2 linked regions of the Arabidopsis thaliana genome follow. The protein of the gene in region 1 interacts with the protein of each later gene in a biochemical or structural test. Each region holds a gene or a part of one and is shown on either strand. Other genes may lie near its edges.

Region 1 (3,932 bases):
CGCCGTAATAAAGATATAGCCGACCATCAAAAGTCTCCGGAAGCTGGTGGTTATGGTGGTCAAGAGGTGGAGGTGTAGCCATGAAAAAGGAAATGCTTTGACTATCCATTGGAGAAGAGGAAGAAGAAGACGAAGAAATCGATGACCTTTGAGTAATGTTGTTGTTGTTATTCAGAAAGAGAGATTGTGAATTGGACTGAAGGGTCCCCCTACTACTGTAACCACCATTAATGGCAGAAGAAGAAGAAGAGATTCCAAAGTTGTAATCAGGTACAAAGGAGAATGGGTGATTCATTGGCTCTTGAGAGGAAGAGTTTGGTATTTGCAGCTGAACCGGGTTAAAGCAATCAGAACCACCGGTCCAATTCCGGTTACTCGGTTGTTGGTCAAAACCACCAGTGAGAAGCTGAGTGAATGAGCTATGAGCATTCTGCAAATCTTTATCTCTGTCTTTAGCTGTTCTTTCTCTAGCTCTCTCTCTTGCTTTCCCACGAATCTCTGTTCTTGATAACGACAACAGCGAACTCTCAGATGTTCCACTACTACAAGCAGATTTGGTCTGATTCTGATTCTGATCAAGATGATCAAAATTTGTGTTAAGCAAAGGAAGATCAGTGATTGAATCAGAAGCTGCATTGATTAACCATTCAACAGCTTTACTTGGCTGATCAAATCCAAGACGATCTTGAAGATCATAGAACTGGATTGCTGTAGCAACTGAGAGACGTATTCTTCGATCTCTTAAACCTTTTGATGTTAACACTTTGCTATGTCTATCTTTGCCACCAGAAGCTCGTGAAACCCTAATGATACGAGACGATGGATTGTTCCAATTCCTCATTAGTCCAGTGTTGTCCTCTGAGAATCTTTGTAGCTTTCTGCTTTGTTGTTCTTGATGTTTTTGTAACTCAATGTCTTCGTCAACCTCCATTGTAACGCTACTCTCATACTTTATCAGAGCTATGATAATTAAGTAAAAAGCCTGAGTATGTTGCAGTGATAAACTTTTGAATCTGCAAAAATTAAAGTAAGAAGAAATTAAAGTCACTGCTCAAAGGCTAAAAATAATAAAAATTTGTAGATCTGCCAAATCTATTCATGTTCATAGACCTATAGCTTAAGAGCCTTTTTCAGAAACCCTAAATTAATTATATAAAACCTATGAAACCTATAGGAATTTATTAAAGATTATGAGCTTTGGTGAAAATAATAAATACCCAGAAATTAAAGGAGAGATTTTTAAGTGAAGAAGATGAACAAGACTAATGATTTTGTTCTTGCTAGAAGCTTTGCCCTAAATTACATGGCAGTTTGCAAAATAAGAATCTTGATACATTAAATAAAGCAGAGATTTTAAAATATAAATAAAGGGTTTGCCTCAAAAATCACCAACAAGCTAAGAGAAAACTCACTTTGGATTACAGGTGTCAACTGTCTAAGCTCAGTGTAGAACAACAATGGCGGCGATAAGTGAAAAACAAATTTAATTTTCTTCAGATTCTTGTCATGAGCTTCTTATCTCTTCCTTCTCATGCTTAGATCTCGTCATTATAAGCATTAGAGAAGTGTTAAGATCCACAGATCTGCAATAATAGTTATATCAAAATAGTCACACAAATATAAGTTATAACATAAAAAAAACATTCGTTTTTGAGTAGTGTTTTAGGACGTTTAGATAAAGAGTATTTTCCCAGGAAAATCAGCCGAGAAAGTGAAAGAAAATTAGCAGAAAATGGGAAATGGGGAGAGAGGCTAGAGATATGAGTTTTATTACCTGTTAGAGAAAAATATCAAACAGTTGCCTTCGGACAAGGGAAGACAAGTGCACTGTTTGGACTATTTTGTACTTTCCTTGTTCTGTTCTTTTCTCTCTCTTTTACCCTTCTTTCTTTCTCCTTTTTCAATTCTGCCACTAAACTATTAGAATATCAATATTTGCCCTTTTATTTTCTTTTTCGATCAATTTGCCCTCTATTAATCGAATTATACTGAAGTATAATGTATGTTTTAATCATATAAATAAGGTTCATGACACTACATCTGATAAGACAATATAACTAGGAATAAGCATACATCCTTGATGCAAATATAGCCTATATTGTTTTAATTTACATTTTCAAGAAACATCTAACTTACATAATGTTTCATGCTATGGTGAAGAAAAGACACTCTCGAGGTGACAAAGTGGACACATGGGCTTCAAAGGCAGAAGCTTCACTTCTTGCATGCGATAAAATATATGGGGTTCTTGGCCAAATTCAGTAACCTTAATCATACAATGAATATTGGTCATGACACAAATTGTATAACTTCTTTGTTGGGCATATGCGGGAGTCCGATTTAGTCAGTACACTATGAGTTAACCGTGGCAAAAGATGCACGCTTTTACTCGGCCTACGCCAACCATGATATTTTTGTTTGCTTAGATATGGTTGAGGTTTTAGTACAAAACTTAACCGAAATAGGAAAAAAGAAACATCATGAATTAAAACATGTTGCCATCATGGGTAATGACCTATTTGGATTTAATGTAAGATAGGCCAAACATATGACTCTCAAATAAAAGTAAAGTAATTAAGAATATTAATTTTTTCTTTTGTAACAAACAAGCTTTGAGCTTTAGAACCACTTTTTGATTGTATTTTCAAAGCCTAAACAATTTAATTTCTTCCACGTAAAGACTCAAATTTGGGGAAAAATACTCAACCTTCCTTCCAAGGAAATCTTTGAAACTAAGTGAACTATCAATACTTGGTATGTAAAGTAAGAACATGATTCTAGTAAGAGTAATTATTAAATAATTTTTGAAAACTAAATAATGTTTCACAATAAGACCTGGACGATTATCCCTAACCTCGGTAGCTCAGTAAGCAAATTATTGTCAACTTGGGAACTTCTTTACACTTCCGACCAATAACGACTTTCTAATTAAGACTATTTTCTTGATAGGGAAACAATGTCAAAATTCGTTTTTGTATACTGTATAAAGCAAAGTTTAACAAATTTATAGATCTAATGTTATGTATTAGTTGTAGAAAGATAAAAATAGTAACAAAAATATTAAAATAGTACATGTCAAAGAAAATTATATACAAATTTACATGGGTTTTGTAAATTGAGTTCCATCCAGATGCAGTGAGTGAAAATAAAGCAAATATTTGCAAATAGCATACTAGTATGTCGTCACTCGTACGTCAGTCATCACATAATGTTTCAACCCATATATTATTCCAAAATATGAATCATCTTACGTACTTTTTTTTCTCCGACTCATGTTATAGTATATCAAAAAAGTTTAACTCATCTCACACGATATGTCGATACAAACCCACTTTGGGCTAACCAAATACATTCCATTTTTAGGGATATGTTGCGTTCATATATTATACTGTATCACATCACATGTCTTTAAGTAATATTTCAGAATTGTGTAAATAAATATTTGTGTGCTTCCATGAAGAATTGGTTTTTAACGTCGGGCTCGAGACTGGCTCGAGACTGCGACGCACGTGTCACTGTCCAAAGGCATTTATTGATGCACATTCAGAATATTTTGGTTCACATCGAATTTTTCACTTTTATTTTGCCAAAAATATATATTTTACTCCAGTGTCCAATGTATCTCTAATTCTCTTATGTGGTTCGAATGTATAATATATTAAACATAATTGCTTTGTGTTTCCGAACTAAGAATATAACACAAATGGTATTTTATATGGTTTTATTATTAGATAATTTCTAATGCAAAAATAGGAAAAAAACCAATTGGAATCACTCAAGTTTTCAAGAACAATACTTGTTATATGCACTTACACTTGTACTTGTCAGTTTCATGCTCAACAGCTAAAGAGTCAAGTACTACGAAACGAAGGGTCCTTAACCATTGACAATAATTAGACCAGATTATGTGTTTCTTATAAAAGTGTTTTTCT
Region 2 (3,932 bases), on another chromosome or scaffold:
AAAGGTCTGATTTAACAATCATCTACAAAGAGTCAGATATTAAAAGCAACAAAACATTCACATGCTAATTCAAAAACATATATACCTGAGCCAAACGACCAAGAGCAAAAGCTGACATTTCCACGACCTGCTCATCTGATGATTCAAGCATCTTAATCAGTGGTGTAATGGCACCTCTCTGGGCAATGTGCACCTGCATGATCATGTTGCCAGTTATGTTAAATATGTTCTCTCTAGTTAGAATCCATTCAGTTATATCGTAGAAAAAAACGAGTTTGAGTGAACATAACATGTGCTAATATTATAGTACAACAAGAAAGAGACAATCCCATACCTTGCAATCTGAATCAGGCGCAGCAAATTGACCTATTAATAATGCTGCTTCTCTCTGTGTTTCCAAACAAGTGGAGCTGTAGCAGATATCATGAAAAACAGTTACAAAACATAATTCAAAATTTCAAGAGCTAGCATCTGTTCCAGCAGAAGTAGAAAGAAAGTAAAATAAGCATACCTAAGTAGACCAATTACTGGTTGTAAGGCACCAGCACGGATAACCTCTTTCTTGATGTCAGGAGATGAGTGGACAAGATTTCCAATTGCCCCAATCTGAAAGTCCATAGTACATTAGAAAGAACTGAACAAATCAAACCAATTGCAACGATCTAAAGCAAGATGAAGAACTAACCGCTTCCCCGTGAACGGTAGAATCTTGTGATTGAAGCATCAATACAAGTGTGGGTAAAGCATTCAACTCCACAATCTACATAGTTGCGCATTATGTGAGAATCATGCCTTTCATAAGCCTAAACAAAACATAATCATAGTAAAAACATACTTGACTCTTGTTCTCGTCGTTTCTAAATGAAACTGTTCGCAAGGCCCCTGCCGCAGCCCTCTGTACTTTAACATCCGGAAAATTGAGAAGCTCAACAAGTGGTGCAATGCCACCTTCAACCCTGTAAAGCATTTTTAAAAGGTGTCAAGTGAAAACAGCTAGTCATCACCATAACCAGTAAGGATCATGAGATATTAGTACCTTATATTTGTTTTAATCCTTGGATTGTCATGAGCAATGTTAGTAATTATATCAGCGGCTCTCCTAATAACAGCATTAGCAAACATGCATTCACCACATTCCCCACGTCTCTTCAACAACTTCACGGTGGGAACTATGGCTCCAGCATCCACAATAAGCTGCTGGTAACCAGGCTATTTAACAGAGAAAGCTAATATCAATATACATCAATCCAAGCTAAGTACATCTAAGATAGTTGCAAATCGCCCATTTCAAAAATTCTAATGTTAACTTCCAACAGAGATTGAAATTACACAACATCTCATCCACAATTTCATCAAAAACAGCGAAAGAAGGGTTACCTGAATCGCAGCAATAAGTCCAAGAGCAAGAGCACAATCTTTCTCTAGCTTGTGCTCGCAAGATTTGGGAACATTGCCACAAACTACCAAAGGGGATTCCAGATATCTCACCAAAGCAGGGATCGCTCCATTTTCCACGATGATTTCAACATTTTCATCTATATAAACAGATGAGAAAATCAATTAAGCCAAAAAAAAACACTTCTAGGTCTCGCCTTACTGAAAATCAAAGTACTATGGGCAAGAACAAAACAATTTCTATGTAGAATCCAAAATTAGAGTGAATCCGTTGTCGAGAATTGACTCAAAATTGAGCAACTCAAGGACGAACAAGCAAAGAGAGTAACACGTTTTCAGTTTTAGCCGCCGATTAGAGGTAAAATGAAGAAGTACGGTACCGATTTTAGCCAAATCGGCGATATCAGCAGCAGCTTCTTTGACAGCTTCGTGATCAAAATCAGGATCTGAGAAGCTGGAGTTAAGAACCTCGACGTGACGGCGAATCGCGACGACGAGATCTATGGGTTCGTCGTCAATATCAATAAGTTGTGTGACGATTGGCGCTCCATCTGTGTTGTGACTGAGTTTTCGCTTCAAGTTTCTGGCGGCGAGGCGTGTTGTTCGCTGGCGCTTGGGATGGTTCTCCATTGGCGGATGGTTTGATATCACCGGCGCAGTAGAAGATTTGACGGAGAATTTGAGCGGTGCTTTGAACGATTTTGAGATTATCATCAGGAGTGGAGAGAGCGTTTTCTTTATAATACCAAAGCCTATTTGGCGGGGTTTTGAAATTTAGTTTTTCATTTGGGAGCCAAATTTCCCTCCTTCCACTCAGAGGGAATTTATTATTTTCTTCCATTTTTTTTGTTATTTTTGGTCAAAAAGATTTTTAAATTATTTTCTCATTAAAACACTAATAAAAAGGCTAAACTAAAAATAAAAATCCTACACATATGGTGAAATTAAAATTTTATTTTTGATATATTGTCCTAGCACAAATTTTAATATATTTTCTAAAAAATATAATCTAACTTTTGGATAATTAACTTTTTAATTCATCCAAAAATTGTTTTGGATTGGGATATCTTGATTTTAATGATCACATATTCAATATAGATCTACAAATATATCAAAAAAAAAATTTCCATGTTTTGTTAATTTATTAATAGAATTCATATAAACTAGATGATAACGTAATCAACACGTTTTATTGATATAGTTAAGTATCTCTTTTTGATGGTTTCATGCCAAATTTCTAGTTCATCTAACTGTTGATCTTGCATTTAATTCACAAGTTATTTATCATTGTTAGTCTAAAAGAAGTCTAACTAACCTCGATGTAATGTCAAAATCAAATATGAGAACCAAAATCTTTTTTTTGTTGTTGCTGTGTGTTTCAAATTTGCTCTGAAATTTCAAATTTGCGAAATATTTGAAAACTATGATGTATTCAATTGTTATTTTCATGGATTATTATGAAATTCTTTTACCTCAAAAGTGGACTTGTTTCTTTTTCGCTTGTTGTTGAGATTGCTCCCATTCTTTATGTTGCTAATGAGCTTGAATCTAGTAACGCTAGGTTGACTTATTGGTATAAGTTTTTCTATAAACTCTTTTCTAACATTTTTTATTATTTTGATATTTAATTTGTTGTTTATCTGTCAATATAAAAAATACTTACATCGACAATAAAAAAAAAGTTTACTTAGGCAATACTCATTAGTACAATTTGTACACATTCAATCACGTCATCTTTCATAATATTGATATTATCCAATGATACAAAAACATAAGAGAACATTAGTAACTCTTCTAACACTAAATATATAAAATCAATGTTCAAAAATGAAAGCTCAACAAGATAAATAGTCTAATTGAAATAAAATTTTATGGTCCCTGGTTAGGGGATGTATAGCCTAGACTTGTTCATTTAAGAAAAAAGGTTCAAAAGAGGCACATATGAAAAAACAGTCTAATTGGTTTTTGGTTTGATTTGTCTGAATATGTGTTCTTATTCAATGGTGAATCCAAAAGATCTATATTAGAAACTTAGAAATCTACGATGGAGAAAAATTGTTTATTAAAATCCAACGTGTTATTATTAAAGTTATTTGTGATTACCGCAAACTTTAGATCAAACCATAAGCCCATTTAATCTAACCAAAGGTCAATATATCTTTTTTTCTTTACGGCCAAATATCTTATTAATATAAGAAGAGTTTGCTACATGCTTTGGTTAACCCAGGAGATTACATATGGTGATTCCTGAATTCTAGCGTATTTGTAGCTTCTTTAAAATTTGGTTTTCATTTAGGAGGCAAAATTAAATTTGTTCCCTCGTTCCACTTGGAGCGCCCTCGTTCCACTTGGAGCGCAAATTTGAGTAATCTTTAAAACACAAAAAAAAAGTTAAAAACGCTAAAAAAAAAAAAAAAAAATCATACACATATGGTGAAATTGAAAATTTTCTTTTGATATCCAGTCCAATTGCAGCGCAAATTGAATATTTTTTTATAAATATAATCTAGTTTTCGGATGGTAAAATTTTTAATTTA

The links.
Region 2: the proteins of TCP24 (region 1) and ABAP1 form a complex in vitro, tested with the Arabidopsis thaliana proteins (one study listed by BioGRID).

The regions. Positions count from the first base shown.
Region 1 is NC_003070.9:10,628,798-10,632,729, forward strand, and holds the start of TCP24 (TEOSINTE BRANCHED 1, cycloidea, and PCF family 24), read right to left. Parts: upstream 1,834-3,932; 5' UTR 1,775-1,833; intron 1,770-1,774; exon of another isoform or gene 1,584-1,769; 5' UTR 1,413-1,583; intron 1,014-1,412; 5' UTR 932-1,013; coding exon 1-931. UniProt on the Arabidopsis thaliana protein: Plays a pivotal role in the control of morphogenesis of shoot organs by negatively regulating the expression of boundary-specific genes such as CUC genes, probably through the induction of miRNA (e.g. miR164).
Region 2 is NC_003076.8:4,141,135-4,145,066, reverse strand, and holds the start of ABAP1 (ARMADILLO BTB protein 1), read right to left. Parts: upstream 2,158-3,932; 5' UTR 2,110-2,157; coding exon 1,776-2,109; intron 1,536-1,775; coding exon 1,378-1,535; intron 1,210-1,377; coding exon 1,037-1,209; intron 957-1,036; coding exon 836-956; intron 761-835; coding exon 686-760; intron 607-685; coding exon 512-606; intron 411-511; coding exon 335-410; intron 194-334; coding exon 86-193; intron 1-85. UniProt on the Arabidopsis thaliana protein: May act as a substrate-specific adapter of an E3 ubiquitin-protein ligase complex (CUL3-RBX1-BTB) which mediates the ubiquitination and subsequent proteasomal degradation of target proteins.